Linked DNA regions of Coturnix japonica. Each later gene encodes a partner of the first gene's protein in a complex. Links are inferred from orthologs where the notes say so. Each region holds a gene or a part of one and is shown in the gene's direction. Other genes may lie near its edges.

What was found.
Region 2: MEAF6 (region 1) and BRPF1 share a complex: the UniProt entries of both Homo sapiens proteins name them as parts of the MOZ/MORF complex. The link is inferred for Coturnix japonica from reciprocal best matches to the Homo sapiens genes MEAF6 and BRPF1.
Region 3: MEAF6 (region 1) and JADE2 share a complex: the UniProt entries of both Homo sapiens proteins name them as parts of the HBO1 complex. The link is inferred for Coturnix japonica from reciprocal best matches to the Homo sapiens genes MEAF6 and JADE2.

The regions. Positions count from the first base shown.
Region 1 is NC_029538.1:3,339,198-3,349,697, forward strand, and holds the start of MEAF6 (chromatin modification-related protein MEAF6), read left to right. Parts: upstream 1-4,812; 5' UTR 4,813-4,862; coding exon 4,863-4,958; intron 4,959-5,082; coding exon 5,083-5,198; intron 5,199-5,658; coding exon 5,659-5,746; intron 5,747-5,853; coding exon 5,854-5,899; intron 5,900-6,321; coding exon 6,322-6,511; intron 6,512-6,754; coding exon of another isoform or gene 6,755-6,779; exon of another isoform or gene 6,780-7,497; intron 7,498-9,064; coding exon 9,065-9,094; intron 9,095-9,197; exon of another isoform or gene 9,198-9,255; intron 9,256-9,874; coding exon 9,875-9,908; intron 9,909-10,304; coding exon 10,305-10,313; coding exon of another isoform or gene 10,314-10,371; 3' UTR 10,372-10,500. Other genes in the region: DNALI1 (axonemal dynein light intermediate polypeptide 1), read right to left, coding at 410-490; SNIP1 (smad nuclear-interacting protein 1), read left to right, coding at 645-796, 879-975, 1,832-2,415, 3,077-3,341.
Region 2 is NC_029527.1:8,981,636-8,992,111, forward strand, and holds the start of BRPF1 (peregrin), read left to right. Parts: upstream 1-3,673; 5' UTR 3,674-3,880; exon of another isoform or gene 3,881-4,033; 5' UTR 4,034-4,142; coding exon 4,143-4,759; intron 4,760-5,851; coding exon 5,852-6,811; intron 6,812-8,457; coding exon 8,458-8,614; intron 8,615-9,685; coding exon 9,686-9,817; intron 9,818-10,200; coding exon 10,201-10,347; intron 10,348-10,476. Other genes in the region: CPNE9 (copine-9), read left to right, coding at 236-312, 515-578, 651-754, 823-927, 1,379-1,420, 1,507-1,711, 1,785-1,846, 2,024-2,070 and 3 more. UniProt on the Homo sapiens protein: Scaffold subunit of various histone acetyltransferase (HAT) complexes, such as the MOZ/MORF and HBO1 complexes, which have a histone H3 acetyltransferase activity.
Region 3 is NC_029528.1:2,342,177-2,352,906, forward strand, and holds the start of JADE2 (E3 ubiquitin-protein ligase Jade-2), read left to right. Parts: upstream 1-3,927; 5' UTR 3,928-4,024; coding exon 4,025-4,096; intron 4,097-5,750; exon of another isoform or gene 5,751-7,851; intron 7,852-9,227; coding exon 9,228-9,285; intron 9,286-10,730. UniProt on the Homo sapiens protein: Scaffold subunit of some HBO1 complexes, which have a histone H4 acetyltransferase activity. Acts as an E3 ubiquitin-protein ligase mediating the ubiquitination and subsequent proteasomal degradation of target protein histone demethylase KDM1A.

The DNA.
Region 1 (10,500 bases):
CTTCCTGAGAAGCAATACTTCCTAATATCCAGCGTGACTCTCCCCTGACACAGCTTAAAACCATTCCCTCTACTTCTATCATGGATTAGAGGCTCACTACAACCTCCCTTCTAACTTCTAACTAAGGGAGTTATAGAGGGCTATAAGGTCTCCCCTGAGCCTCTTCTTCAGGCTGAACAACCCCATCTCCCTCAGCTTCTTCTTATAAGTCCCCATTATGCTCCAGACCCCTCACCAGCTTCATAACCCTTTTCTGAATGTATTCTCAATGTCTTTCTTGCAGTGAGGTGCCCAAAACTGAACACAGGGGGACAATTACCTCCCTGTTGCTGCTAGTAACACTGGTTTTGATACAATATAGGATTCCTTTGGCCTTCATGGGCCATAATATCGGTTCATATTCACTCACCTCTGGTGATCGCTTCTCAGTACGGCGACTCACCAGCATGGGCGGGTTATAACGCAGCAGCGAATCGGGCGGTGGGATCATGGCGGCTCCTCGGTCGCTATGGTTATAAACGCCGCTCCGTTGTTTGTTCTAAAGGCGCATGAGCGTTAGGTAAAGATGTAGTTCCGGGTGGTTGAGAGAGAGGTAACACGGATGTGAAAACGTAATTCCGGTTGTGGGGGGAGTCGGTAGCAAGATGGAGGCTGAGAGTGAGAGGAGGAGGAGGGAGAGAAGGAGGGGGGAGATGGCGGTGAAGGCCGAGAAGCGCAGCCCACGGAGCTGCGGGTCCCGTTCGGCTTATGGGAGCCAATCCCCCCCCATTGAGGAGCGACGGGGCAGGAGCAGCAGGTAGGAGGCCTCATAGGGCCTTATTACGGCCCTGTATCGTAACCCTGAGGTTCTGTGCATTTCTTGTGTACTTGATTTAAAGGTCGCCTAAAAGGAAGAGTAAATCCGGCCGGAGGAGCAAATCACCGCGGGGGAGGAGGAGCAGGAGTCCGCACCATGGAGGTGTGAGGGTAAAGCAGGTAAATGGCGTTGGGAGAGGCCAGGCCCCACAGATCCCCATAGAGACCCCACAGATCCCCACAGAGATCCCATAGACACCCCATAGAGCCCCATAGAGACCCACTGAACCCCATACAGACCCCATGCAGACCCCATAGAGCCCCACAGACAACCCATAGATCCCCAAAGACACCCCATAGATCATGTTGCCCATGGCCCCGTCCAACCTGGCCTTGAACACCTCCAAGGACGGGGCATCCACAACCTCCCTGTGCAGCCTGTTTCAGGGCCTAACCACTCTCCTAGTGAAGAACTTCCCCCTAACATCCAACCCAAATCTTCCCTCTTTTAACTTAAAACCATTTCCCCGTGTCCTGCTATTGTCAGCCCTTTCCAAGAGTTTACTCCCCTCCTGGGAGTAAGTTCCCTTCAGGTATTGAAAGGCTGCAATGAGGTCACCCCGCAACCTTCTCTTCTCTAGGCTGAACAAACCCAACTCCCTCAGCCTGTCCTCATAGGGGAGGTGCTCCAGCCCCCTGATCCCTCTAGAATAACTCTTAAGGAAGAGAGAGTCTTACAGTGTAACATCTCCTTGCTCTCTGCTTCGTGTTTTCCTGGAAAGAACTGAGTGTTTGTACCTTTTAGTGAGCCCAGCCCCTGTTATTCCTGTAAGAAAATGAGTATTTGTGCCTTTAAGTGAGCCCAGCCTGCAGGCTGACCCTGAAGGCTGATGTTATGATGCATTGCTCTCTGTCAGCCTTGCATTGTTGGGCCCAAGTTGTGGGAATTCACTTTGGAAGGAAATAAATAAATCTAGATATACACGTACCATGTTACAGTCTGTGTTTTTCATGTGTTTTCTGTCTTCTTCCTCAGGAACGAGACGATCATCCTCACAGAGGAAATGAAGAGAGAAAGCAGAGACACACGTCAGAGCAAGAACACAGACGAGATAGAAGCGGTGACAGAGACAGGCACAGAGATCACTCAGACAGGAGGAAAAAGGAGGAAAGACCTGGAGGTCGAGGCCATGAGAGAGAAAGAGATGTTCAGAACATCCGTGAGCAACAAGCAGAGAGGGAGTTCTATAACGAAAGAAGACGAGAGCATCGACAGAACAACGAGGGGAGCGGTGCTGAGCAGAATCCAGAACACAAACAATCTGATAACAAACCAAAAGATAAAGCTGTAAACAAAGAAAAACCAAGCTTTGAACTGTCTGGTGCCCTTCTGGAGGATACCAACACTTTCCGAGGCGTTGTGATTAAATACAGTGAGCCCCCAGAAGCTCGGATTCCAAAGAAACGATGGCGTCTCTATCCATTTAAAAACGATGAGTTCCTGCCTGTCATGTACATTCATAGGCAGAGTGCTTATCTCCTGGGCAGGCACCGCAGGATAGCAGATATCCCCATTGATCATCCCTCCTGCTCAAAGCAACACGCTGTGTTCCAATACCGGTCAGTATCGCTCTGTATCCCTCTGGTAGGTGGGGATTATTTGGTCGCTTGCGTGCAAAGGGAATCAAAGAACGTATTGGATGTGCACAGATTAGAAAATGCATGTTTGCTCAATGGTTTTAGATAGGTGGAATTTAGGTATGGATGTAACATATATGTAATTCCTTTTTGTTTAACCATAAGCAGCCTCGTGACTCTTAACATATATATAATTCCTTTTGGTTTAACCATATCTAGACTTTTAGTAAGAAACACAACACAACAGGATGAAATACAGAACTGCCTGTATATCTGAATTGGAGTTATTAGCAGGTGGGATTGGCAATAAAGAACGTTTAAAGGAGGGTTTTTCATTTGTTCCTTCCCAACAAAGGCTGCCGATCTCCTTTATAAACAGCAGGGTTGTGTGCTTCAGGAGGCAGAGCTGCTCTCTTAAGGAACAACCATCTGTTCTGCTTCAGGATTTACTATGTTATATGATCATAACTTTAAGGGGTGAAGCAGTCTGTCAGAATCTTGAGTATTTCCGTGCCCTGTCTAATTATTCTCATTGTACTTGCTCAGATCTTTGAAGTATGGTTAAGTATTTACAACAGTGGGGCTGATGTGTTGAAAAATCCATGTGTTATCATTGACTTGATGGGTTGTTTTTGTTTTCTAGGCTTGTGGAGCACACACGCGCTGATGGCACAGTTGGCCGCAGGGTAAAGCCGTATATCATTGATCTTGGTTCTGGCAATGGTACTTTTCTAAACAACCAGAGGATTGAGCCTCAACGTTACTACGAACTGAAAGAAAAGGATGTATTGAAGTTTGGCTTCAGCAGCAGGGAGTACGTCCTTCTCCATGAATCATCTGATAAATCAGAGGCCAACGCAAAGGACGATGATGAGGAAGAGGAGAAGGAGGAAGAGTCCGATAGTTAACAGACATGAAGGCAATTGGGGATGGGGGAGCAGGGGAGAGGAATCTTTTACAATAAAACATGCATTGGGATGGAGATGTTGGAGCATCAAAGCACTGGTGCTTCTTATTGCCTTAAAGTCCTTCTGTTGCTGACTGGTTCTTATGGTTTATTGTGGGGGACTCCACTGAATATTTGGCTTTGGTAGGTCTGTATAGTGGGAAATCTGACTTATTTCACCCCCCTGACAAGCAAAAGAGCAGCTGGATGTGAATGATCTGATGCTGGAAACATGTTCAAAGATGGTTTTCTGCTGGATAAAGAAACGATGTAGAACACAGCAAAGTGTATTTAAGAATATTTTTATCCACTGTTTTTTGTCATAAGCCTTTGAAAACGCTACTGAACTGAGGTGTTAGTTTCAAATGTAACCCCATGCATTGTTTGTAATGTCTTGTTTTGTAGAGTTTGCCAAATTCTAGAGTTCTAGAAGGGAGAATGACCAGGTTTGCTACTAAAAGAGGGATATTGCAAAGGTTTTATGTGTCCTGGGTGGTTGCTCTGCACTGTGAGCAATGGGCATTTGACCACAATGAGCTGCCTGTCGATTCCAAGGTAAGTGAGAAGAAAAGGAAACACAACCTGAGGCTTTTAGGTTGCAACGATGTGGTTTGGGAGGGCTGAGGTCCACATCAATGCACGCTATACATTGCAGCACCCAAACTATGGCTGACTGTCATGTATCTCCTAAACCTCAGCCCTTTGTTTCTATCAGCTCCATGAGTAACTTAATGTTTTTTGTTTGTAATTGTACTCGTTACGTGGTGGCATGTTTTTATTACCCGGTTTGCACTATTTAAGTTTTTCTTTATATATATATATATATATATAAAAAGAACTGAAGCTCTCGTTGCTTTCTAACATTCTCCCCCACAGGAAAAGCTTTAGGAAGAGGAAATTAAAAACCCCAATGACTGGAAACAAACACATCTCACCTCTTTGTGGCTGTCTGTTCCCTATGGTTTCCATGTTGATGCTTAACACACTGTTGCCTGTTTGTTCTATGGCCACACACACAACCTGTATACACACACTGGAGCATTGATGGTGTAAATACGGGGTGTTGATATAGGTTTTCATATAGAAAGCAGGATAGATCTTGGCTTGAAGGATCACCTTTATATATATACACAATCTCAAGGTTTTTAAATAAAGAATTTGTAATTCTATTTAATTGTAATGTTTCTTTCCTATATCCCTATTTCCCCCCCATGCACTGCACAGGGAAGCACTGAGCCCTGCTTTTGAGCTGCTGAGTGAGCAGAAGGGTTCAACCTTATATTCGAGGTTTGCCTTGTTGTTTATTGCACAGACCCAAATCCTGGATGCTTTTAGGGCTCCCCATCACCCCCCTCCCATGTCCCTATTAAGCCCGACCCTATAGCGGCTGCGGGGCGGAGCAGGGGGGCGGAGCGCTGTTCAGTGCTGCCCCCTAGCGGCCATTCCCCGCAGCCCCGCCCGCTCCCCGCAGGCCGCAGCCGCCATGGCCGCCCTGCACGCTAAGTCCGGCGGACCCCCGCAAATCCCGGACACCCGAAGGGAGCTGGCCGAGCTGGTGAAACGCAAACAGGAGCTGGCGGTGAGCAGGGAGCGATGGGGACGGGGGGGATAAAGTGGGAAGGCGGTGAGGCTTGTGGTTGTGGTTGTGGCCTTAAGGTAAGGCCAGGCCCGCTTCTATGCATCGCGCTGTGTGTGCCCGGTAGGAGACGCTGGCCAACCTGGAAAGGCAGATTTATGCTTTCGAAGGGAGTTACCTGGAGGACACGCAGATGTACGGCAACATCATCCGCGGCTGGGACCGTTATCTCACCAACCAGAAGTGAGTGTGGACCCCAAACCCGCCCTCCCATCCATCCCAACCCCCCACCCCCCCTTTCCATGACCCCCAAACCCCCCTCCCATACATTCCAACCCCCCCCTTCCCATGGACCCCCAAATCCCCCTCTCCATCCATCCAACCCTCCCCGGCTTCCATACCCCCAAACCCCCTTCCCATTCTCCCAACCCCTCCCCTTCCCATGGACCCTCCAAAACCCCCTCCCCATCATCCCAACCCCTCCCCTTCCATGACCCCCAGAACCCCCCCTTCCATGACCCCAAACCCCGCCTTCCCATCCATCCCAGCCCCCCCCTTTCCATGGACCCTCAGCCCCGCCTCTCTCCCATCCATCCCAACCCGCCCCCCTTCCTTCCATGGGACCCCCAAACCCCCCTCCCCATCCATCCAACCCCCCCCCCCCCTTCCATGGGCCGCCTCCATCCTCTTTTCTCCTTTGCAGGAACTCCAACAGCAAAAACGACCGCAGGAACCGCAAGTTTAAAGAGGCCGAGAGGCTCTTCAGCAAATCCTCAGTCACTTCTGCTGCGGTAAGAGCTGCCCCCAGCCCCCAACCCCATGGGACCAAGCTGCTGTGGGTATCTGTTAAGCCATGAGTGCATCCCTGTTGTCATTAACACCCATTTCATCCTTCCAGGCTGTCAGTGCGTTAGCTGGAGTCCAGGATCAGCTCATTGAGAAGCGTAAGTCACCTCTTCACTTGGCAGAATTAGGAAGAATTGAGCTTCTCCCCACAGCTCGGCCCCATCTCTGCTTTGTTGGGCTCTCTGCTGTCCACTTTGGATGGAGAAACCAGGATTGAAGTGATGCCTTTAGATGTCTTGTGTCTCTCCATCAGCTGCACGTGGCTATGGGAGGAGATAAGAGCTTCACTACTGGAGGCTGCAGCCTGTTGTGGGCATCCAGCTTTAAGACCTTTCCTTCTGCTGTCACCATGGCTTTGGGTCTGACAGCAGGGCTGCATTTCCAGTCCTTGGCACCAGAAATTTGGGTGTCTGTAGTTCTTGTAGCCCTTTTTTCCCCCCCATACTTTGCAGGAGCAGCCCTGGGATGTGAACAGTGAGGTGATAATCATTGGGCTCTTCTGCTTCTCGTCCCATTCCAGGTGAGCCGGGCAGTGGGACTGAAAGCGACACATCTCCAGACTTCCATAATCAGGAGAACGAACCCAGCCAGGAGGATGCTGAGGAGTTGGATGGATCAGTGCAAGGGGTGAAACCCCAAAAAGCAGCTTCTTCCACTTCTGGAAGCCATCACAGCAGCCACAAAAAAAGGAAGAATAAAAACAGGCACAGGTTAGTGGCACCGACAGCCTTCTAGTAGTGCAATGGGAACGGTTGGCTCTTGCTGATGATGTGAAGGGAGCTAGTAACTCGTCAGGTCGTTTGGTTCTATCACTTGCTTTGAAGCTGCCTGTGCTCCTGCTGCTCTCCTTGTGTCAGGGAGGGAGGCAGCTCAGCAGGCATATTCAGCACAGGGTACTCACAGCTCAGGTGTTTCTGACCAGGCTTTGTGGGTTCTTTTCTCTTTTCAAGCAGAATAAAGCTGTCTTCCCTGCAGTAGAGGAAGATGACAGCCCCGGCTTCCTGTGGTTGTTCTTTGGTTTCTACTGAGCTAAGGGAGATAGGAATGTCAGTGCTTTCTTTGGAGGAGGAGGATGGAAAACAGCTTAGAGTGTTCTGGGGGCTGCCGACACTCACTATCTTTACTACATTTTCTACTCCAAAGCTTTCCTGTTATCGTGTCCCAGAGTCCTTTGATTATAGCACGTACAAGTTGCTCTATCACACAGACCACAAGCTCTTGTTATTAAACTGGCCTGAAATTCACATGAAACAGATTTCCTGAGCTCTTTGTGATTGAATTTAGGTGACCACTTCAACCCTTTAAGGCGCACCTTCAAGGCAAGATGCAGCACAGTGGGCTGACAGCTCACATTGGGATTCATTGAATTCCAGTGCTGCTTTCCCTGGATGTCAGGTTCTTATTGAGCTCATTGGCTTTGGGTATGGATGGATATTCCTCTTTGAGGAGCCTTCCTATACAAATGGTTTATAATACAGTGATAGATCCCACAGGGACTGCTGGGAAAAGGTCTGTCTGGGAGACACCAAGGTAGGTGTAGTGCCTGAAAGCCAATTAATTACGACTTATTAGTTAGATTTTCAGCCATTAGCATTTTTAATTGGAAGGTCAGGGTTTTCTCCCCACAGCAGCCTTATTCAGGCACACATCCCAAAGTATTGGATGTCCTTTTGGGTTCCTCCTGAGCAAGGAACCAGCAACAGTTCAGAAGTGGTTTTTAGCCCTCAGGCAGTTGGGAGGAAGGCCAGGAGTAACAGAGCACGTCTCTAAACCACTTCAGAGAAACAATCTGTACGACTGAAGTACAGCATAAGAATGCTGCTGTTTCAAACAGAATCCAAAGCACTGCTGGGCACTTACATGGACCACAAAGCAATCTGCTGCAGGTACAGTGGGGTCTGCTGCAAATGCCATAAATAATATAAACTCTTTTGCTCCGTTACATCACCCAAACTGTAGTGACGGGTGTTAGGAAGAAACTGCCCTACTGAAAGCTTGTGTTGCTTTGGGGTTTCTTCTGCATTCCTTCCTGTGAAGCAGCTACTATTGGAGACACAATATTGGACATGAGGAGCCCTGGTCTGATCTGGTATGACAATTCTTATCATCCTAAGAGATGCATCTAAAGAACCCAAAGGATTTTGCAGTAATGCTTAGCATGGCCAGGTAGTGGAAAGTGATTAAATGTGTTTGTAATGCAAACTGTTAGAAGTTGTGATCGCTGCTAACGACTGCCCCCTAAATTACAGCAGAAGAGCCTGAGTGATCTTCAAGTATATCCAGGTTTAAACCAAACAAAAGCCAGTCCCAGCTTTGTTAATGGCACAGCTCATTCAGAAGCTCTTTCATTTCCAGCCTATGTTTGAATTCTGCTCACCTGAAGGACTGGGAGCTGCTGGGAATGGATGCTCTGAAGGTGCATTGACTTCCACCAGTGGCAGCGAGGAGAGGTGGATTCAAATTGAGCAGAGCTGGTGTGAACAGCTGGGTTAATTTCTGACTATTCAAACAGGGGATCACATGGCAGTGCTTTATTGAAGCCATCCTCTCTTCCCTCAGACCATAGAAGGCCCAGATGGTGATTTTCTATGCGTTCAGCAATTATTCTCAGGGCTAAAAAGTGTTTTAGGGGAAAACAGTCCTTCCTCATAGGGATCCGGTGCTGAGAAGCACCAAATAGAGCAGTGAGGGTTGGGGTAAAGTGCCACCAGTGTGAGAGCTGAGATGTGGGGTGGGAATGCAATGAGCCACAATTGGACTCAGCCATGGCACCATTCCGAGCTCCCAAAGGGATGTGGGTGGAAGGCTGTGTGTTGTGTGAGTATTGGGAACATTGAGTGCGTACGTGGCCACGTGGCTTCATGGTTGTGTCCACCTCTGCCTGAACAAGCTTTGCTTTGCTTAATAATCCAGACAAAGCCACTGCTTTCTGACCACCCGTTGAGGTTTTGCGAGCAAATCCGTTTCCTGATCTCCCTCTGAGCTCAGCACACAGCATTCCCTGCATAACACCGCTCCTAACACCTCCCCATCCTTGAGATCCACCTGGGAATGGGACAATATCCACCCTGCAGTGCTTTTTCTTATGCCCCATTCTGGTTAAAGACACTTTGCAGAACTTCATGGCGTTTGAACACCGGCTTTTATTTCTTCATTGACTTTGTTTTTAGCGTTCTCGCTTAGGGTGGCTAATGGACTAATTGATTTAATTCCTTAGTGTATTAATTTCTATTGCTTTCTTCCTTTCAAATGCTGCCCCTCAGCCCGTCTGGCATGTTTGATTATGACTTTGAGTAAGTTTGACTTGAATTAGTACTTGTGCTGTGTTGTTAGTGTGTAGACACCGATGTGCCTTTTGAGACCTTTCTAACCCATAGTTTATCTGTTTAATTGTAGGTATGTATATTAGGTTAGGCTGGGAAGGTTATTTTAAAAACAGCAAAGCGTGATGGAGGTAACCTTTTATTTAATAACTTCGGCAAAAACCAAATTGAATTAACTTCACACTCCTTTACCTCTCTGCTCCGGGTTTGAAATAGATGAGCTCTTTAATACGTAGCTTAAAAACTGATTCTTCTGGCTTTGCTTCTGAAGGAGATCAATGTAGATTTGGTTATTTCCTTCTGGATGTAACATAACCAACTCCCTACCTCTGTCTCCTGTAATCCCCACCACCTTAAACTCCTCTCTCTGTTCCAATAACCCTTAATGCTATGTCTGAATAATGACCTGTGGCATAGTCACACATCTAACCAGTTAATGTAGAGCATGCGTACGTAACCGTGTTTCTTTATGCTACGTAACTTCCCCGTGATCTTTATTAACTCTTATTCTGAATGGGACTGAATCTGCATTGTGGCAAAGAATAAAGAATCCACTCTCCCTCTCTTTGCTGCTCTCTTGTCCAGTAATATTGGGACAGCGATTTGGCTCAGCCCAATTGAGAATGTGGATTGAATTAACCAAAGTAGCCTTTGTTGTAGCCTGTGCCATATGCAGTAGCTGGTTCTTTTGAGACCTACTGTTTGTGTAACGTATTGAAATGGACGTTTCTCTTATCTTTCCAACCACAGGATTGATCTCAAGTTAAACAAAAAGCCGAGAGCTGTAAGTATCAGTGCTCTGTCACCGTTTTTGTTGCTCATCCTGGAAAAAAAAAGCCTCCTCTGCCATGATATGAGGTTGTTTTTGTGCTTGGGGAATGCGTAGGGATGAAGCTTAAGCATCGTCTTCCAGATGTAATAGTAAATGAGCCCAGGTGGGCTCGTTACGGAGCAGGGTTGCATTGAAGCCGCGTGTGCTTTTTATGAGCAAAAAAGCTGTTTTGCATCTTTGTTCTGTTGTGAATTGCACCGATAACAGCACCTGGTTTGGGCTGAAAACAAACCTCTTTTGCCTTCACCTGATGGTGTGTAGAATGAGAGAAGGCGAGGAATCCCAGCTCTGCCAGCAGAGGTGGAGGTAGGAAGGTCTTAATGTGCCCATCTTCTCCTGTCTCTACAGGACTACTAGAAACATCAGTGCTGAAGATTCCGGGATCCAAGCCTACATGAATCCCCACCAAGAATAACTGCAGTCATCCCAACGAGCTCAATGGCAGCTCTGTGGCCACGTGTGTGCAGAAGGGAGCAGTCCACTCTAAAAGAACTGTGGGGGGAGAAAGACTTGGGACGTGTCTTTGCATCATATTTAGATAACC
Region 2 (10,476 bases), on another chromosome or scaffold:
GGAGTGGGTACATGGGATGGTTGTAGGGCTGCATGATGAGCTCAGGGATGTGGGGTGGCCTTGGGTGTACAGGAGGGGTTGTGGGCTATGGAGCTGTGCTCTTATAGGGCACAGGGTGAGCTCAGGTCACCTGGGGTTCTATGGGGAAAGAAGGCTACAGGCTGGAGATGATGAGAGGGTGAGGGGGCTGCAAACAGGAGCCCCCAGGGTTTGAGCATGGCATTCCTGGGTGCAGGACTTCCTGGGGCAGGCGTTTGTGGCACTGGGAGAAGTGATCGGGTCCCAGCGGGGCCGTCTGGAGAGAGCCCTCACGTGAGTCACATCCTGTGGCAGGGCTGGGGGTCCCACACTGTGCCCCTGGCCGCCCACCCTGCTTCAAGATACCCCGCTGGCCATGCTGCCCCACGTCCCTGTGCATGGCTGGGGACGCACCTGCAGCACTGGGCCTTGTGGAGCGCCCTGCATCCTGCCCCTGTGCTGTCCCCACTGTCCCCACGCTGGGCTGTTGTCGCAGGGGGGTCCCAGGGAAGCGGTGTGGGACCATCCTGCTGCTGGCCGAGGAGCTGAGCAACTGCAGGGTGAGTGCTGCATTTGCACGCTATGGGATGTGGGGCAAGGAGCTGGCTGCTGGTGACAGTCCCCATCCGCAGGACATCGTCACCATGCAGTTCTGTGCCAACAAACTGGACAAGAAGGACTTCTTTGGCAAATCCGACCCTTTCCTGGTCTTCTACCGCAGCAACGAAGACGGCACGTGAGCGTGGGGACGTGGGGTGCGGGTGTCCCTGCACGGCATGGCCTCACCATGCCTCGTCCCCGCAGCTTCACCATCTGCCACAAGACGGAGGTGGTGAAGAACACGCTGAACCCGGTGTGGCAGCCCTTCACCATACCCGTGCGTGCCCTCTGCAACGGTGACTATGACCGGTGAGGATGGTTCTGTGGGGCAGCCTCCACCCACCCCACACTCTGGCCCCATCCTGCAGCCCCTGGGCCAGCCCACAGCCCTGCACACATCTCGTATCCCCCAAATTGTGTCCTGGTGATGTTTCTCCAGAGCTGCCCCATACGTTGCAGACCTGTTCTGCACCCCAGGAACACCGCTGTGGTGTTTGCAATGGGGCAGCAGTAGGACAGGACGCAGCATCTCCCCACAGCCAGCACACAACTCCAAACAGGGTTCTTAGTGGTGTTCTCTTTTTTCTTTTTCCTTTTACAATCCAAATTACATAAAAGCTTCCCCCCTCCCCAGAGCTCCACCATGACCCAAATTCCCTGCTCCCCTCCCTGGGCATGCAGTGTTACTCTGATGGCACACTGAGCCCTGCACACTGTGGGCCATGCCAGAGGCTCCCCCTCAGCCCCGCTTTACTTCCAGCACAGTGAAGATTGATGTGTACGACTGGGACAGGGATGGGAGGTGAGGCCGTGCCCCAAAGGGCAGCACAGTGACATCGGGGTGTTCCTCATCCCATAACACACGCAGCCCCTGCGCTCCTCCTGCAGCCACGACTTCATCGGGGAGTTTGCCACCAGCTACCGTGAGCTGTCCCGTGCACAGAGCCAGTTCACGGTGTATGAGGTAGGGCAGGGGCCACAGTGGGGCAGCTTTGGGGGCGTGGGGAGCCCCACAGAGGGACCTGCCTGGTGCCCGCAGGTGCTGAACCCTAGGAAGAAGTGCAAGAAGAAGAAATATGTCAACTCTGGCACTGTGAGTGGGGCTGGGCTGCTCCTGCAGCTCTCACCCATGGCAAGGTGCTGGCTCTGACACCCCGTGCCCACAGGTGACTCTGCTCTCCTTCTCCGTTGAGTCCGAGTTCACCTTCGTTGACTACATACGGGGCGGGTGAGTGGGGCCGGGTGCCCCCAGGCTGCCAAGGGATGGGGGCAGGAAGGCAGTGATGGTGGTGCTGCATCCTGGGGGTGCTGAGACAGCGGCTGCAGTTGTGGGGTGGGCAGCGGGGCTGGGCTGTGGGGTCGCGCTGTGCCTGGGGCTGGCAGCCTCCTTCACTCTCCCTCCAAGGACACAGCTGAATTTCACCGTCGCCATCGACTTCACGGCCTCCAACGGTGAGCACAGCAGAGGGGGGGTCCCGGGGAGCAGCACCATGTGGGTGCTGATGTGCGCTGTGCCACAGGGCTGCCATCGCAGCCCACCTCGCTGCACTACGCCAGCCCCTACCAGCTGAGCGCATACGCCCTGGCACTCAAGGCCGTCGGGGAGATCATCCAGGACTACGACAGCGACAAGCTCTTCCCTGCCTACGGCTTCGGAGCCAAGCTGCCACCTGATGGCAAGATCTCCCACCAGTTCCCCTTGGTGCGCCCTGCTGCGAGGCTGGGGGAACCTATTGCTGCTGGGTGTGGGGCTGGGGAGCAGCCGGCCTGGCCGCATCCTACCCAGCACCATGGGAGCATCAGTCCTGTCCCCAGAACAACAACGTGGACAACCCCAGCTGTGCCGGCATCGAGGGAGTGCTGGAGTCCTACCTGCAGAGCCTGCGCACCGTGCAGCTCTATGGGCCCACCAACTTCGCCCCTGTCATCAACCAGGTGGCCGGGTGAGCGCTGCGGGGCCGCCCCCATCCCGTGGCCGTGCTGTGGGGGACGATGTGGGGCGGCTGCTGGAGGGCTGCCATGCCGTATCCCTGCAGCACGGCCGCCCAGGTGACCGATGGCTCTCAGTACCACGTCCTGCTCATCATCACTGACGGCGTCATCTCCGACATGATGCAGACCAAGGAGGCCATCGTCACCGTGAGTGGCCGCACGCCACCAGGGTCAGGGCACCACGTATGGCCTCAGTGCCGCCGGGCTGCCCCACACCTATGGCTGCTGCCCTCTGCCAACAGGCCTCTGCGCTGCCCATGTCCATCATCATCGTGGGAGTGGGGCCGGCTGAGTTCGATGGTGAGCGGGGTGGGCTGGGGATGGGGCCGGGCCGGGGGGTGCTGTCATACCGGGTCTGAGCGGTGCCTGCAGCCATGGAGGAGCTGGATGGGGATGAGGTGCGGGTGTCATCGCGGGGACGGTATGCGGAGAGGGACATCGTGCAGGTGAGCTGCAGCACCAGGCCTTGTGGGGCCGGGCCCCCATTGCTGCCCATTGCCCCCATTGCCCCCATTACCCCCATTGCCCCCATTGCCCCCATTGCCCCCATTGCCCCCATTGCCCCCATTACCCCCATTGTCCCATTGTCCCATTGACCCCATTGACCCCATTGATCCCATTGCCCCCATTGACCCCATTGACCCCATTGACCCCATTGACCCCATTGACCCCATTGACCCCATTACCCCCATAGCCCCCATTACCCCCATTACCCCATTACCCCCATTACCCCCATTACCCCATTACCCCCATTACCCCCACTGTCCCACTGCCCGCAGTTCGTTCCGTTCCGTGACTACATGGACCGGGGGGGCAGCCAGGTGCTGAGCATGGCCCGCCTGGCCAAGGACGTGCTGGCCGAGATCCCCGACCAGCTGCTGTCCTACATGCGGGGCCGCGGCATCGAGCCCCGCCGGAACGCCGCGCACTGACGGCTCCGTCCGGTTCCGTTCGGTTCCGCTCGGTTCCGTTCGGTTCCGTTCGGTTCCGTTCGGCTCCGTTCGGTTCCGTTCGGTTCCGTTCGGCTCCGTTCGGTTCCGCTCGGTTCCGCTCGGCTCCGTCCGGTTCCGTCCGGTTCCGTTCGGTTCCGTTCCGTTCCGTTCGGTTCCGTCCGGTTCCGTTCGGTTCCGTTTGTTTCCGTCCGTTCCGTTGGTGCCGCTGTCACCGGCCGCAATAAAGCGCTCCGGCCGCTGAGGGGCGGGTACTGGTTATTGAGATTCGCATCGGCAGATTCGCCGCTCTCCGCGCGGTACCTCGTCCCCTATCCCCGGTGGGTCTCTCCCCGCTGTCCCCGCTCCGTTCTCCTCTCCCCGCTCTCCTCGCTCGGTTCCTCCCCTCTCCTCCCTCCCGCAACCCGTCCCGCCCGCTGGGCCGGCGCGGTGTCGAAAGTGCTGTTGCTAAGGCCGCCCGGCGCTTTACCCAGGGGCGCCCCGCGCTCCTCCATTGTTGAGGCCGGGCCATGGCGCGGGGCCGCTGAGCGGCGGGAGGCGGCAGCGGGGCCGGGCCCAGCGCACACGGTCACACCGAGCACGATGGGGGTCGACTTCGACGTGAAGACGTTCTGCCACAACCTGCGGGCCACCAAACCGCCCTACGAGTGCCCGGTGGGCAGCTGCCGTAAGATCTACAAGAGCTACAGCGGCATCGAGTACCACCTGTACCACTATGACCACGACAACCCGCCGCCGCCGCAGCAGCCGCCGCTCCGTAAGCACAAGAAGAAGGGCCGGCAGGGCCGGGCCAACGACCGGCCGTCACCGGAACCGTCCGAGGCGTCGCAGTCCCCGGGCCGCGAGGTGATGACTTACGCGCAGGCCCAGCGCATGGTGGAGGTGGATCTGCACGGCCGCGTGCACCGCATCAGCATCTTCGACAACCTGGACGTGGTGTCCGAGGACGAGGAAACCGCCGACGAGGCGTTGGACGGCGGCGGCAATAAGGAGAACGGGGACAGCCAGGCGGCAGCCGCGTCCGCCGCCGCGCCCAAGTCGGCCAAGCAGAAGAGCAAGGAGAAGCGGAAGGATTCCAACCATCACCACCACCATCACAACGCGGCGGCTGGAGCGGCCCCCAAGCTGCCCGAGGTGGTGTATCGAGAGCTGGAGCAGGACACGCCCGACGCGCCGCCCAGACCCACCTCGTACTACAGGTACCGGGGGGTCCCGGTGCCGCCCCGCGGGATGGGGGGCTCGGGGGGGCTTTGCTGCGGTCTGAGCGTGGTGTATAAGGGCTGAAGGGGAGCTTGTAGCAAACAGGGGGAGCGGCTTGTGGTCTCCTAGTGTTAGGGTGAGGGGGAATGGGCTTAAAGCATTTAGGTTGTGTGTTAGGGGGAAATTCCCTACTCAGAGGGAGGCGAAGTGCTGGCATAGCTGTGCAGAGCTGGGGGTGCCCCATCCATGGAGGTGCCATGGGCACCGCAGCAGGGATTGAGCCGGGTGGGCTTTAAGGGCCCTCCTGACCCAGCCACTCCATGAAAGAAGGTGAGTGTCCTTCTGCCTCCCCCACTGCTGTCTGGAGATGCTCTAGGATAAGTCAGGAGCCCCCCAGCACCAAAGTTCAGCTGTGAGCCATGTGCATTTGTAGGTGTAATGTGTTCTCGTGGCCCTATGGGTTTTCCATATGTGGTTTGTTTCGGTGCCAATATTGGCCATTGTAGCAGTGCTCTCACTGCTGTCTCTGCCCTCCTAGCCACCGTGCTGCCTGAGAGTCTGGCACCAAGCTGCAGGCACAGAGGAATAACGTGGGCTTGTGTCACACTGCTGGAAAAGAGAGTTCCCCATGAGCTGTCTGCATAGTGCTCAGTGTGGTGCTGCACTCTGGCTGCTGGTTGTTGCAGATGGAGCAGGACGGATGGAGCAGGGTGCAGGGGCTTCTGGCTTTTCCCCACGATTCACCTTGCCTCACCTCCAGGTGGCAACAGGAGAAATATACCAAAACAGGGCACTGTCTGCACCCCATGTGCAGCAGGGCCAGTGCTATTGTGTCTGGGGAACAAGGTCACTGTCTCCAGAGTACTGGGTGTCCGCTTGCTGGCTTGTACAAGCTCCTGTCTTGTGTTGATGAGTCTACAACATCTGCAGCTTGTTATTTTGTCTGAACATCCAGCCGTGCTGTGCCAAATGCCCCCCAAGCAGTGCAGCACCTTCAGCTTCTGAGCGCTGCTGCCTCTTTTCTGTTTGTTGTGGGTTTTTTTGGGCTCTAATATGCAGAACTCTCACCTTCTCTTGCTTTCCCCTTCCAGGTACATTGAGAAGTCAGCGGAGGAGCTGGATGAGGAGGTGGAGTACGACATGGACGAGGAAGATTACATCTGGCTGGATATCATGAACGAGCGGCGGAAGACAGAGGGCGTCAGTCCCATTCCCCAGGAGATCTTTGAGTACCTGATGGACAGGCTGGAGAAGGAGTCATACTTCGAGAGCCACAACAAGGGGGACCCCAACGCCTTGGTTGATGAGGATGCCGTGTGCTGCATCTGCAATGACGGGGAGTGCCAGAACAGCAACGTTATCCTCTTCTGTGATATGTGCAACCTGGCTGTGCACCAGGAATGCTACGGGGTGCCCTACATCCCCGAGGGACAGTGGCTGTGCAGGAGGTGCCTGCAGTCACCCTCACGAGCCGTGGACTGTGCCCTGTGCCCCAACAAGGGCGGTGCGTTCAAGCAGACGGACGATGGGCGCTGGGCACACGTGGTCTGTGCCCTCTGGATCCCGGAGGTGTGCTTTGCCAACACGGTCTTCCTGGAACCCATAGACAGCATCGAGCACATCCCACCTGCACGGTGGAAGCTGACCTGCTATATTTGCAAGCAGCGTGGCTCTGGGGCTTGCATCCAGTGTCACAAGGCAAACTGTTATACTGCTTTCCACGTCACCTGTGCCCAGCGGGCTGGTCTCTTCATGAAAATGGAGCCCGTCCGTGAGACGGGAGCAAACGGGACCTCCTTCAGCGTGCGCAAAACTGCCTACTGTGACATCCACACACCTCCAGGCTCCGTGCGCAGGCTGCCTGCGCTTTCCCACAGCGAGGGGGAAGAGGAAGATGAGGAAGAGGAGGAGGAAGGCAAGAGCTGGAGCTCTGAGAAGGTGAAAAAGGCAAAGGCCAAGTCGAGAATCAAAATGAAGAAGGCGCGGAAGATCCTGGCAGAAAAACGAGCTGCAGCACCTGTGGTTTCTGTTCCCTGCATCCCCCCCCACAGGTACAACTCGCTGCCTTCCCCTTGCTGTGGAGAAACCTGTCCCTTTCTCAGCGTCTCATGTCCCACTTTGCATGCAGGAGCTGTCTTTTTGCACAAGTGCTTTTCACGTTGCTCTTCCCGGGGCTGTTTGTGGTTTCCTCTGGCTTTCCTGCAGAGAGGAGTGAGATGTGCAGCCCCACGAGGTGCTTGCACAGGAAATAGATGCTGCTGGCTTCATGACAGCAACCGAGCTTGGCCAGGGGTGGCAGGAAGCAGCTGGGGGCTCCCAGAGCTCTTCTCCTGTGTGTTGGAACAGGCTGCAGGAAGAAAGCAGAGGCCACCTTCCTTTTGCTGCAGCTGGCCCCACACAGCCCTGCTGCTTCCCAGCCTTGCAGCATGCCTGTGGTGCACAGCTGGAGCTGGGCAGGGCAGTGTTTGCCTTGGTGGCTATGAGTCACCAACCAGGTTCTCCTCACTGCAGCTGGGACACCACACCAGAGCTGCACTTGCTGGCCCTCAGGTCTCTGAGTTGCAGCCACCATGGCATGGGGTCACTGCCTCCTGGCAAGGCTCCTTCAGGGCTCTTGTTGGGCAGGAGGGGGTATGCAGGCACTGTGGGGTTTGCTCTGTGGGCAGTTTGTGCTGCAGGATTGGTGGCTTCGTGCCATGGTGTTTGTGTGTTAACTGTATGGTACGGCTCACTCGCTCGGGGTGTGTTCTATAACCCGAGCCTCTCTGTTCCCACATGTGGATGCACTAGCAAGCTGTTTGTAGGCTCTTTCTGCTACCCTCGGGCTCACAGTGAAACCCACACTGAGGTAGAAGCTGTTAACCTCACCCCAGGTCTTCCTGTTGGGATTAATTATTCTTCAAGGGCTGTTGCCAGGATGCCAAATGTCTTCCTGTAGAAGCTGTGAGCAACCAATGACAGCAGATGAGGACGCTGTCTGCCTTCAGCTAATGCAGGTCGGGTCACCCTGTGTGAAGAGCTGGTCCTGCAGGATGTGGAGATATGGGATCCACACTTCAGTCTCACCTAGCAGGGCATCTCTTAACTGCACTGATGGAAGAGGCTGTCTCAGTCGCTTCAGGCTCTGCCATTGTAAAGAGGAGGGAAACCCCTTTTGTTTTGTTTGGGGCTGTTCAGGGTAGTTCTTCCTTAGTTCCAACAGCAAGCTCTGTTCTGCTAGCATCTGCCCACCCCTCCTCACGCTTTCCCAGATTTGTTCATGCTACAAACTCCTCGGGGCTGCTGAGCTGTCTGGTAATGTTTGAATAGGGCCTTTGTCGTCTTGGGTGGCCCCTTGCTGCCAGCATAATAAGCCGGGTGAATCACAGCTTTGGGACAGCCGTGCCGTGGTCTCGGGGCCGCAGGGAGCTGTGAAAGGCCCAGCTGCCAGTGCCCCCGCCTTGCACCCCAACCTGGAACAGTCAGCAGGAAAGGAGAGAAAGGAAAAGGCCTTTAGGAGAGACAAGGCTGAATGTTTTTTAGTGTAGCTGTCTGTCATGTGCTGCTGCCCCTCGTTCCTTGGCCCTTCAGGGATTTCTACTACGCAAAGGTGTGTGCTCAGTCTGAGGAGCTTGTGGGTTGCCTCGCTACACTGGGGCTTCTGCTGTGGCCAGATTTGCTTTGCTGACTGGGTTTGTGACCCTTCTCCTTTCTTCAGGCTCAGCAAGATTACCAATCGTTTAACTATCCAGAGGAAGAGTCAGTTCATGCAGAGGCTCCACAACTACTGGCTGCTGAAGCGGCAGTCCCGCAACGGTGTCCCTCTGCTGCGCCGCCTTCAGACACACCTGCAGTCCCAGAGGAACTGTGATCAGGTACACGCTGCATTTTGGGGTGCTGAGGGGCAACCTGGGTGTCTGTGTGTGCTTCCTGTGCCTTTGCAGCTGTGGGCTCAAAGCGTTTGCTGCATGTGTTGGTGCCTTCGGGCTCAGAAAGGGGCTGGAGAAAAGAGTTCTACCTCCCGATACCGCCCCAGCTGCCTGCTTTTGCTGCTTTACCTTCTCCACTCTCAGCATTCAGAGATTTGCCAGACGGAGCCGCCTTTGGCAGCCTGCCATGGGAAGGGAAGCCTGCCCTGTTGTGTGCAGGAGTTAGCTCATTCCTCTTGCCGGCGTTCAGCTGGCAGCTGTGGCAACGCTGGCAGAAGTGGGCTCTAACCTGAGGCCACTTGTGTCAGTGGGCATTGAGAGGGGTGGCCAGGGATCCCCAGACATGGTCTGGAAGAAACCAAGGCCTCACTGATCCTGAAATAGCTGTGGGAACAATCCCTGTGGGTGGTGCTCTTGGCCTGCTGTTTGCCTCAGCCTTCAGTCACTGCTTCACAGATGTGAGATCTCTGGTGCCAGAGGAAGATCTTTCCTATGGCTCTCTGTTTAAGCCTTTCCAAGCCCTTTGAAGATGGTGATCAGTTAGAGGTTTCTTCTGCTTTTACCCCTCCCTCATTTTTATTTGCTCATCTTTGGCTTACAGCAGCAGAATAAAAGTCAGCAAGTTTTTTGATGCTCCAGAGGTGAAGGTAACCAGAGCTGTGTTCCTATTTTGCCCTGTTTGCCATTGACTAGAGCTCTGGGCAGCCGCCTGGACACTTATTGCTGCTTTGTGGTCCTGGGCAGCTGCCTGCATGTAGTCATGTTAGGCCGAGTATTTCCAGATTTCGCTTTCTGGCATCCTAACAGCTGGGTGACCATGGAGCAGGTACTGAGCTGTAGGCAGCACTTGGGCTGTCTCTGTGAGTCACCCATATGGCAGGGGAGCTGGGATGTTCACTGAGGCAGCAGGTCAGGCGTGCTGGTTCCCTGTACAAGAGAAGAGCCCTCGCACACAGCCAGGAAGGAAGAAATGGGAACGCTTCTCCTGTCAGCTCACAGTCTCTGATGTTCCTGCAGAGAGACACTGAGGATAAGAACTGGGCCCTGAAGGAGCAGCTGAAGTCATGGCAGCGCCTCCGCCATGACCTAGAGCGCGCGCGCTTGCTGGTGGAGCTGATACGCAAGCGGGAGAAGCTCAAGAGAGAGACGGTAACAATTGTTTGCCCCTCCTAGGGGAGCTGCTGGGGTGGGTGTGAGTACAGGCTTTCCGGAGTGCTGGTCAGTTGCCCTTTGTAAGCTGCACGGTGGGCACAGGGTCCCCTTGGTTGCGCTGTGCCCTGCCCCGGCAGCTCTGCATGAAGGCGGCTGCTGTGCAAGGCTGATGTGGGAAACATGGGTGCTGGGGCCTGTGCCTCACCTCTGCTTTCTAGAGATGATATTGAGGTGCAACACGTATCCCGTGCAGTCCCACTCGAGGAATGCGGCCCCACTGCAGCAGGGAAAGGTGGCACTGTCCTGTGGGTCTGCTAAGCTGCTCCTGGAGGCTGTCACCGGGGTACGATGCTCAGTCGTGCTCTGTTCTTCTGTTCCAGATCAAAGTGCAGCAGGTGGCACTAGAAATGCAGCTGACCCCCTTCCTCATCCTCCTCCGCAAGACACTCGAGCATCTGCAGGAGAAAGACACGGGCAACATCTTCAGTGAGCCGGTCCCTCTGTCTGAGGTAACAGAAATCTACGAAGTAAGAACCCCCTCCCCCAGATTTCTACTTCACTCACACTTGCCCCTTGCTCATGTCAAGGGCTGCCCATGGGGGCCTCTGCTCTGGACGCCCTCTGGGCAGCCTGCTGATGGTTTCCAGTCCTGACAC
Region 3 (10,730 bases), on another chromosome or scaffold:
AGCAGCAGCATCGCGGTGCTTCAGGGGACTCTTGTAGGTACAGCACTGAGCCCTGCGGGTTCCTTCACTTAAACATCTGATAATTCAACATAGGTGCTCACTGTCAAAAGGCTGTCTATATTTTTCTCTTAGGTATGCAAAAATAAGCACCGGTGAGTGAAGATGAAAGGAAAAGTTTGCTGGCTCCTTCCCCGGAGATCGTATTTCTTACTTGTTGCATAACTGCTTATTTTAGCATCCATCAGCTGAGCCTTTGTTGTGTAGACAATTCGGTCCCTTTAGAGGATTTGTGCAGTATATTTCTCCCCATATGCTTTTTTTTTTGTTGTTTTTATTATTAGGTTTCTCTCTGAGAACACCATGGCAGAGCTCTCTGTAACGGCCATGTGCATGGCATGCATGCTATGAAACGGAGCATCATGTAAGTAATGCTTGTGACCTTCCCGTAGCAGAACCACTCACGGGGTGTAAGCTCTGAGTATGCTGTATGTATGTGTTACAGATATAGGTTCATATACAAATTTGGGACCAATGCACATATATGGTAACCAAAATCTGGTCAGTGATCAGATACTCAGAAATAAGAAGTGTGAGGATTCTTGGTGCCGGTGCAGCTCCATGGTGCTCATTCATCACAGCAGAGAACTCTTTCACTGCAGGTTTTCTTCTGTGCCACTGGGTCATGCAGTGCGTGGGATGGACATTGAGGGGCTCAGCACTTTGGGTGCATTGCAGTTGCTCTGCATACAGTCGTAGGCCTTAGCTCAGCATGTTACAGTGCTCACAGCAACAGAAAATGCAGCTTCAGCATCTCAGTGGGAAGTTTTAGGGCAAAACCAGGTGCTCATCCTATGGACAGGGAGGTGGCTTAGTGGGTGTGGGGTCAGCAGTTGGACAAGGAAATCTTAGTGATCTTTTCCAACCTCAATGTTTCCGTGCTTCTATGATCTGCATTTGAGGCCATGCCTAGGGACACACCAGACCCATGGTTCTCAACCAGCCTGCTCTGCTTTGCAGCTCTGCATTTTGACATACTGGGACATCCTTTAGTGGTTTTGCCCCCAAACCCTGCAGAAATGGCCAGCAGGGGGGCTATGGGACCATAGGTCTGCACAAGGAAGCCAGCAGGCTGCCCTGAAAACAGAATTATTCATTTTCCCACTTCTTCTCCTATGGTGCTTTCCACTACACAGCATCAGTGCTGCAGCACTCTGCTCATCCTCCCCAGGCACCCGCTATGGAGATGGGTTGGGATGACACGTGGATGGATTAAGGTCAGTTTTGACTAATTCAGGGCACTCCTGAGCAGCAGTGTCTGCGTTCTCAGAGCGCTGAGCGTGCTCCAGCACTTCAGACATGCAAGCACAGCACCCACTGCTTCCAGCTGCACTACAGTGGGTGTCAGCAGTTCGGTTTCAAGCTACGCAACCCTCAGCACCTCCACATTTGTTTTAATGACTTTGTAAGCACTGCCCCTGTGGCAAGGGCAAGGAGAGTCCTGTTCTTTGGGACAGTCCCAGAGCTGTGCCCTGCAGCTCTCACCTCACTGCTGGGGCAGCTTTTGGCTCAGCAGATAAGATGGGACCTGGTGACTCTGGGTCTCCTTCCTGACTTATCTACAGAGCAGGTCCAGCATGTGCAGGCATTGTATGGAAGAATGTGACAGAGTAACTCAGAACTGCATTAGGATTATGAGAATAAAACAACAACAAACTCTGTACAGAATGCCTCAATTTGGGCATTCCCAGTGTTCTGGCTGCATGGCACAGTGACTTCACTTCCCGAGGGGAGCAGTGGGGTGCCGGGGGTTCTGAGAGCCTGCTGAGGTCCCACTGCTCCCTGCTGCTAGGAAAGGCTTTTCCTAACCAGTGCCTGATGGTCCCCATTCTTCTCTGGGGCCGCATCCCAGCAAGCAGGCTCCCCAGAGAAGATGACAACATCTTATTTCCAAACCAGAAATAGGCAGAGTGCTGCTCCATCTATGGGGAAATGGGAAACGTCCCTCATTCCTCCAGTCTCCCCACACCATGCCCCATGGCCACCCCCAGCACCTCCAGGCCCATCTGCTGCCTGCTGCTCCCCAGCCCCCCCAGGCCTCATTCTCCCCCTTTCGCCATTCACTGTCCTTTCCATCCTCATCCCAATCCGAGGTGCCTGGGGCTGCAGGTGCCCCCAGAGCAGCTCCTAGGAGATCCCAGCAGCCAGGATTCAGCGTGTTCACACCACGCATTGTAAACTGCTTTTTTGAGAGACCTCCAACACCACCAGTCTGGGCTCCTTTATCTAAAAGCCCATCCAAGGCTGCCTCGTGCTTCAATTCAGGGCTGTATTTCCAGAGCTACAATCCTTAAAAGATGATCATTAAATGCAGCAATCCCAGCTGTGACCGAGGCAGTGCTCTTCTCCTCCTCAGTCTTCATCCTCAGAAGAGCTACTGGGCTTAAAACGATCAGGAAATGCCCAGCACAGGCTCCCGAGAGAGAAAACCGCAGCCGGATTGATGGAAGTTTGGGCAATTCGGGCAGCGTGCTGAGGGATGCTCGCTGTGGTCCCACTGCTGTCCCAGCGGGCGGCTCGGGGTTGTACAGCTGCCCGCTAAAGGCGCCCGTGGATGGGGAGCCGAATTTTCACCTCCCGCTGGAGAGCACTGCCGGACCCCTCCCGCACCGTGCGCTCCCATCCACGGAGCGCTCCATCCCCGCTCCCCGTTTCCACCTCTAAACAACCAACAACCCCCCCGCGCTATGGGGGCAGCTCAGACCCATCGCTCCGCATCTCCGGGGGCACCGCGCAACGCAGCGCTGCTCCCCATGGGGGGGGGCCGTGCCGCAGCCCTCCCCCCCCGGCAGAGCCCCGCTCCGCACCCGCGGAACTCAGCGGCACGTCGGGAAGTGTCGCGTTGGGGGGTGGAAGGGGAGGAGGGGGGTTGAAGCGGCTCCGCTTTGCCGCCCCCGCCCGCTCCGCGCCGGGCAAGAACCGTCTTTTTGACGCAGGAGAAATGGCAAATTTTAAGTACGTCATTAATATGGCGCCAAAAGGGTGTTTTTTTTTTTTTTTTAAGTATAAGCCTTTTTTTTTTTTCCTTTTTTTTTTTTTTTTTTTTTTTTTTTTAAGGTTGCAGCAGCAGCCCCGTGTGCACCGTGTGCGTAACGGGGAGAGGGGAGCGCAGCGGGGAAAGGGGGGGGCGGTGGGGGAAGAGAAGGTAAAGAGTGAGCGGGGGGTGTGTGCGGGGCGGCCGCGAACGGGACGCGGGGCGGTGCGGGGCGGTGCGGGCAGCGCCGGGCTCCGGCCGCAGCCATGGGGCCCCCGCGGCCCGGCGGGGGCTGAACGGGGAGCGGAGACACCTGGACCCGCGCGGAGCCCCGGAGGGGGAGGAAGAAATTAAGGGGGAAAAGATTTGGGGCGGGAGGGAGGGGAGGGTGGGGGGTTGGGGGGGGGGGGGGGGGGGGGGGGGAGCGGCAGCACCATTATCCGGCCCCGCTCCGAAAGTGGCTTCTCCGCCTCCCTCCTCCCGGAGCCCGAGCGGCGGGGCGAGGAGATCCTGAGGAAGTGCGGGCTGAAAAAAAACCCAACAGAGCGCACCCGCGGGCGGGCAGGGCTCGGCGGGCCGCGCTGCGAGCGGCCATCTCGGCTGGGAGCAGCCATGGAGTTCCCGGGCGGCCGCCCCTGAGCAGGGCCGGGACGGCGGCGATGACAGCGGCGTGAGGGGGCTCTGCGCATCCCCGTCCCCATCCCGTCCCCATCCCACCCGCCCCGCCCCTCCCCGCCGCCCCCCGCTGCCAGGCGCAACTCTCCGCGGACGCTGCTCCGGCAAAGGTGAGGCTGCGCGGGGGGAGGCGGATGGGAAGGGATGGGGGGGCTGGGGGGGGGAGGTCGATTGAGGGGGGGGGGCATTTCGCAGCGCTTGGCTTATTTTGTTTTAATTATTTATTTTCCTATCTCCTCTCGTTATTTATTTATTTATTTCCTCGTCTCCCTCCTCCCGGCTGGGGGATGTGCGGCATTTCCAGGGGGCGGATTGCGCATGTTGGTCCCTTCCCCGGTTTTAAAGTGCGCGAGGCGAGAGCGGCGGGGATGTAAACACGAACTTTTCCAGGTTCGCCCCGCAGCTTTGGCTTTTTCTTTTCTCTTTTTTTTCCTCCCCCCCCCTTCCTCTCCCCTCGTATTTCCCCGAAATTAATGACTGCGGCAATAGCTGTGCGGACGGACCGCGCTCCGCGTTTCTAGGGGGCTCTGCGCGTTACCGGGGGCGGGGGGGGGAGCTCCGGTCGGGGGGGGCCGTAGGGGCTGTGCCCGGCGGGGATCGGGGGCGTGGCGGCCGCCTCCTCCCCCCCGCCCTCCCCATCTCTCCGCCGCCCCCGGGGCCGCCCGGCCCCTTCCCCACCTGCCGCCATCGGGGTTGTGAAGGGGGTGGGAATAACTCTCGTACCTGTGAACCCCGGGAGCCTGCGGAGTGAGGAAGGGGCTGAAGGCATCCCGGAGGGAAAACCCTCCCCGCCCCCCTCATCCCCCCCCTTGCACCGCAGTGAGCGGTGTTGAGTTAGGGGCGCTGGGACGGCCGGGAGAGAAGGGGTTTGCTTGGGATACATCAGCGAGCTCCGGCTTCCCCCCGGGAGTGAGAGGAGATCGTAGGAACGGGGTTTGACCTTTAAGCGTTTATTGGCTACCGAGGTTAAAATAAGCTCGAGATGGGAGCAAAAATAGCTCGCAGAAAGGTTACATCAAAGGTTACGTTTGTTTTCCTTAGGAAAATTGAGGCTGATCTCTAAAAATGAAGGCTTGGAGCACAGTGGGAAGGGGACATGCGAGATTTCTAAGCGGGGAGATGAAATTCATGTGGTTGCTGATGGGGTTTGGGCACCGAGTTCGGAAAGTCGGGCAGGTGGCCCCGTACAGAGGAGGGCGCAGGGCCGGAGCGGGGCACTGCGTGCGGGGTTTGGTGCGGGGGTTCCGGTGCGGCTCAGCCCCTTGCTGTGCTCCGGAGGTGCGGGATGGGGATGGGGATGGCCTTGGGATGGCCCGGCTGATTGCCGGTGCTGTGTCGGGGCATGCTGCAGGCAGAACGGGTAATGAGGGGATAACAAGTCAGGAAAGGAAAGTTAGAAATGTGAGTAATAAAGTTAGAAAAGAAGAAAATCCCCTACTAGATTTGGGGCAAAAAATGGCAAAGCACAGGAAGTAAACGAAGGCTTGTTTTGTTTTAAATTTAAATGAGATTAAATGGTGCCCCCGGGAACCGAGACAGCGGCGCAGCTGGAGCGAGGGGCGGCTCCACCTGGGCGCGGGGCTGTGCCGGGAGCCCTTATAACCCGCGCCCCTCCATGTCCCGCTGCCGGCTTCGGGCTGCCCGGGGCTGTGCTGCTCTCCCCGGAGGGTTCGGGACGGAGCAGCGCTGATTCCCCCCGCCCCAGCCGCGGGGCTGCGAGCCCACACGTGCTGCTGGGCTGCGGGTGCGCTGCGGGGCCATCCCCGGTCGGAAAGTACGTCGTGCCGTCGGGGATGTGGGGCCGCCCGGAGCTCCCCGGTCGGTTATGAGAAAAGGCAGCGCCGCCAGGACAGCGGAGCGGGGCTGGGAGCTTCCCACCGCCTCCCCAGCCCTACTCCTCCGTGAGCAGCTTTCTAACAACGCGCCGCTTTCCAAGACAGAGCCGGGAAATGGTTAATGCGGGGGGAGCGCTGGGGGCCGCCCCGTGGCTCCGTGCCCCCCCCCCCCACGCCGGGACACGCCGGGGCGCACCGGGATGCGCCGGTCCGAAGCCGGGCGGGTGCGCGTGCCGCTGGGGGCACTATTTTCTGTTTGTGTTCCTATTTCTGTGCCGGAGGAACAAACAGGGAAGTGGTTTTCTGCAGTCTCATTGCAGCTCACAAACACAGCGCATATCTCAGCCGCTGTTGCTCAACTGTCACCGAGCGGAGGTCGCGGTGCGGGGAGCGCGGCACATCCCCGAGCGCTGCCGCGATTCGGTGGCCGAGCCCGGCTTCTCCTGCCGTTTGTGCGGATTTCTGTGCTATATTCCCTGTAGAAGCAGTTAACCTGCGCGGATTTCTCTTGTCCCACTTCAGAACCGCTCCCCCAGTGACCCAAAGGGCCGCCGCACGCGGTGCCACCGGGAATCCCCTGAACGCACGTGTGATGCGCAGAGCGAGGAGCTCGCAGGGAGCTGGGAAACCTCTGTGGTTCCCCTGAGCGAAGGGGCTGGCACAGGGCGAGGAGCCGGCCTGAGCCCTTTCTAGGCTACACGGGACCTGGGGACCGGCAGCTCAGGGTTTGGGCAGGTGCTTCTGAGTCTGCCTCCACTTCTCCGCTCCTCTGCTTCTTCCCGTGGGCAGGGCAAAACCGCATCCCCTCGTCTCACAGTGGCGATGGGGATGCTTCGCACCGGGGCTTCCTCCGGCAGGGGGATGCTCGAGGCAGCGGCACGGGATATGGCAGCATCCCCATCCGCCGCCCACCCCCACTCTGCTGCCCATCCCGCGGCTGTTTCGCCCCGGGTCCTGGCGATTTGAATTTGTTTAGGCTGATGGCTGCCCATCGCGTTCCTCGGTTTTGCATTTATTTGCCTTTTTCAGCTGGAACAAAGGCGATGCTGAGCATGTGTTAGTTCGCAGTCAGTCCGGTTTTCGCGTTTCCAGGCACTGGCTCAGTCCAGTCGAGTTGCAGACACTTCAGGGGGATGTTCATTTGTTTATAAAAGAAACCCACATCTGTTTCTATTTGAATCTTAAGCGAGCATACATAGAAACCTTTCTCCTGGTTTCTGGCTCTGTCAAAGCCAGATTTTGGGCCAAGTTTGACCTAAGAGCGACCTTTTCAAAGTATTACAAATTTTTTTGGTATTTGTTTATGACTTTAATAATGATGCCATGTGGGGAACGGGTCAGTTAAAGGTGAAATTAGCTCCTAATGTAAACGGAGGATTAATTTTGGAGCAACGCGCTGCGTTTTGTGGAGGTTTTGAATGGCTCTGTAACACACCGGCTGAGCCGAGCCCGGAGTTGAAGGCTGGTGCGGGGCAGGAATGGGCAGAGAGAGCTCCGGGGGTGCGGGGATGTGGGCAGCAGGGATGGAGGGATGCCAGCAGGGTGCCCAGCCACCATCAGACTTTATAGCCCTGAGCTCCAGATGGGGAAATTGCCCAATTACCCTTTTTCTACGGTAAATTCCTCTGTTGAGTACCGCGTTGTTTACTGCTGTTAGGAGGGCTCTGGAAGATGAGTCCTTCAGGAAGCTGTGTCCTGGAAGTTACTTTCTGAAAGGTCTGCCCGAGCTTTGTGTTTCAGCCCGTGTTTCCCTTCCTGCAGGCGGTTGGTGATGCTTTGTGCTGTTCCCTGCCCGGGCTGGGGCTGCATTTCAGTGCTGCTGTGTTCAGAGAGGTCTATACTTTACTCTGTCAGGGGTTTCATTCAGAGCAATTGAAATGCAGTTCAGTTCAGAGGACGGTCTCTTGGTTCCTGTCACACCGGGGACAAACAAAAATAATTTGTTGAAATGGAGCCACAGTTTAACCTGTGGTGTTGAGTTACTTCTGTATGTGAGTACAAACTCGTCCCACAAATACCCCATAGCTACAAGCAGCCCCCAGCCCTGACCCCCCCTGTGCTGGGCACTGGAGATGCACCTTTCCCATGGTAGGACAGTGATGCCAGTTGTGCTGTCTTGCTACAAAGCCAAAGATAGGAGAGCTGGAAATGCCTTTGGGCCCCAGTAGCATTCCTTTGCTCCAGTTCAGGTGGTTCTTTTCCCTGTTGGTGTTGGTTTATGGGGTGTCAGTGTTGGGCGGCTCCGTGGATCAGTAAGCACAGCTCCATCTCTATGCTCCAAGAGCCAGCCAGTGGGAGCCACGCATTCAGGTAGGATTTCCATTGAAAGAAAGCAAACTGCAGGTAAATCTGCCTTCAGTATCCTCTTCCCCAAGCAGAACCTAACGGCTGCTTGGAACACAGCTGCCTTAATAACAGCTGCTTCCCTGGGAATCACTGGAGGAATGTATTAGCATTGCCATATTCTCAAGGAACGTTTTTAATGGTGTTTTGACAGGGCAGTGCCTTACAACAGCCCCCGTAGTTAAAATGTTGATGGTGCTTTGTGTTGTTGTCCCTTCTGTTGGTGTGAAATGCAGTGCACAGATTGTTGGGTACAGGTGCTGGGAGGGCACAGTGGGGAACTGTGCACAAGTGGAACCTCCTCCGGTGTGCATGGTGTGCTGCTGCTGACCCTCACAGGACAGTTGTGTCCTTTCCCTGGATCACAGAGTCTCTGTGCCTCAGAATGTGCTTACAGAAGGCACCAGGGAGGTGTCTGTGGGGTTGGTGCCACTTCTTGCAGGTGCTGTTGGCTCTCAGCAGTGTGGTCCATGCATAGTGCTCCATCCGAGCCCTGGAGGTGGGGCTGTGCTGATCACCACCTGCTGCGCCCTGAGGAACCAAGCTCTTCTCAAGTGAAAACCTTTGCTTTTGTTTTCATTTTTTCCTTTCTTTTTTGCCTTTTTTCCAAGCACCTGCTAACACAGGTGCTAACACAAGTGCTTGCCCTTCAGCTCTGCCTGCTCAGTCCCTGAGCGGAGGAAGTGCTGCTATTGGACACTCCTGCCTTGTTCTGAGCCCCCTGCAGCTCTGCCCTGCACTGGGTGCCCACTGCCCATCTCCAGGAGGTGACAGTGCTGTGGCAGCAGCCAGGGACTGCCCAGCAGTGCTGGAGGAGGTCTGGGCTGTGGGAAGCCTGCTTCAGGCTGCGGATACATCACAGCTCTTAAAAGAAGTCAGTGCAGTCCGAGTGGGAAGATGACTCAGAGGGTAAAACCCCGGGCTCATTGCACACAGGGGTCCTCTTGAACTCAGTGCTGCATGGACTTCCCCTGCAGGCATACGGAGAGTGCACAGAGTTTCCATTCCTGTAGCTGTGCACTTCCCACAACCGCAGCCCGGTAGTTCTGGGCACAGCCTCCAGCCCTGCAGCCTCATGGGGCACCACACGGCGTGGAGCTGCACATGGCCCCGGGGCTGTGTGTGCTGCAGAGCACTGCTCTGAGCAGTCACTGTGTGTTTCTGTACTGCCTGGGAGTGGGGAGAGCTGGGAGAGAAACAGCCACGTGCTGATAAATGAAAACACAGTGGGGATTTCACATGTCCATTTTTGGAGCCAGGGGTGGCACCTGGGGCGGGCAGGTGAGGGTGCAGAGGGGGGGATCTGGGAATGGGCTGTAATGTGCTGTTCATTCTTGTTGCAGATGGAAGAAAAACGACGGAAGTACTCCATCAGCAGTGATAACTCAGACACCACTGACAGTAAGACCTTTAATTTGAGACTTTGGGCTAGATAACTGAAGTGGTTCACCTCCAGCAGGGGAAGTGTTGGAATAATTACTTTGTAAAGAGCTGAGGAAGCTGCGTCTTCTGCATTTGCTGGAGATTTGCTTCACAGTGAATTGCACGTGGGGTTGGGTTTGTCAGAAATGCAGCACTGAGGTACAACAGAAGCTGTTAGCAGTGGAGATGTTGGGCTGTGGGCTCCTCGTTCTGCTGGAAGCCCCCCACTCATGCAGGGAGCTGAGCCCCATGAGCCCCCAAATGAGCTGTGCTGGGGGGCAGGGAGACTCCTGCTGGGGTCAGGGTGAAGCCCCAGCCCTTCCTGTGGGCTGAGGAGGGATGGGGGGAAAAGGGACAGAGCTCAAGCCAGCAAAGCTTGCAAGCCCACGCTTGCTGTCAAGCACATACCTCACTTCATCCTCATTTGGTGGAGTGCAGAAGCATGTGCTCAACAATAAATATGTGCAAATGTGCTGAATTTTGGCTATAAATAGAGTGCTTTCCTCTCCCACTTATCTCAGGGCTTTGCCCGCTGCAGCAGCACCACTGAACCGCGTTGGGGGTTGAGGCATCTTTAGTCCTGGCATAAAACATCGTGCCCTTATCTCTGTTGGACTTTGATACTTGTGCTGCAGGTGATACTGAAGCTGTTGACAAATGCTCTCCTGCAGGATAACTGTAAACAGAAGGATGACCTCTTTGCTGTGCCTTTGCCCAGGAAACGTGGTGGTGGTGGTGATCTAAGCCTGTATGACTGCAGTGCCACATGGCACTGGTTTGGCATTGGCTTATAGGCACAGTGTGGTTCAGCCCTCCAGTGGTGAGAGCAGTGCTCAGTAGACCAATCAGCAGCCAATTTGGTGTGCTCCCAAAATACTGTTGTGCATCTGGAGGGATCCGGTTGTACAAAAGATGCTACCAGCAATTAGTTTATCATTTACTAACATCTTTTTTTCGTGGTGCTGGCAGTAGCAGTAATAGTAACACAGGTGAGCTGGGAATAGGAATTAATAACAGAGCTCCCATTGCATTTCAGGCTCCAGCAGCTATTGCCTCATGGAGGTGGCAGCAGCAGTGGTAGTACTGCATGAGTCAGGACAGTGAGAGTCCATTCATAATAATCTCAGAGTAAAGCAATCCCAGATCCCACAGCAAATACTCTCCTACTACTGACATGTGCTGTTGTGTGCAGAGGGGGCTGCTGAGCTGCACACAGCATGGAAGTTACTGATCCTGCTGCTGGTGAGGAGGTTTTACACTTACAGCCAATATTTCTTTTTGCTGGAGTCTGAAGTCCTTGAGTGGTTCAGCACATTCAATGGGAGCACCCATGCTGGAACAGTTCAGTCTCACCTCCCAAAGTGGTGATTCCAGGAGATCCCTGATTTCAGAAGCATTAAGCCCTGGCTTCCTTCCTCATGGAA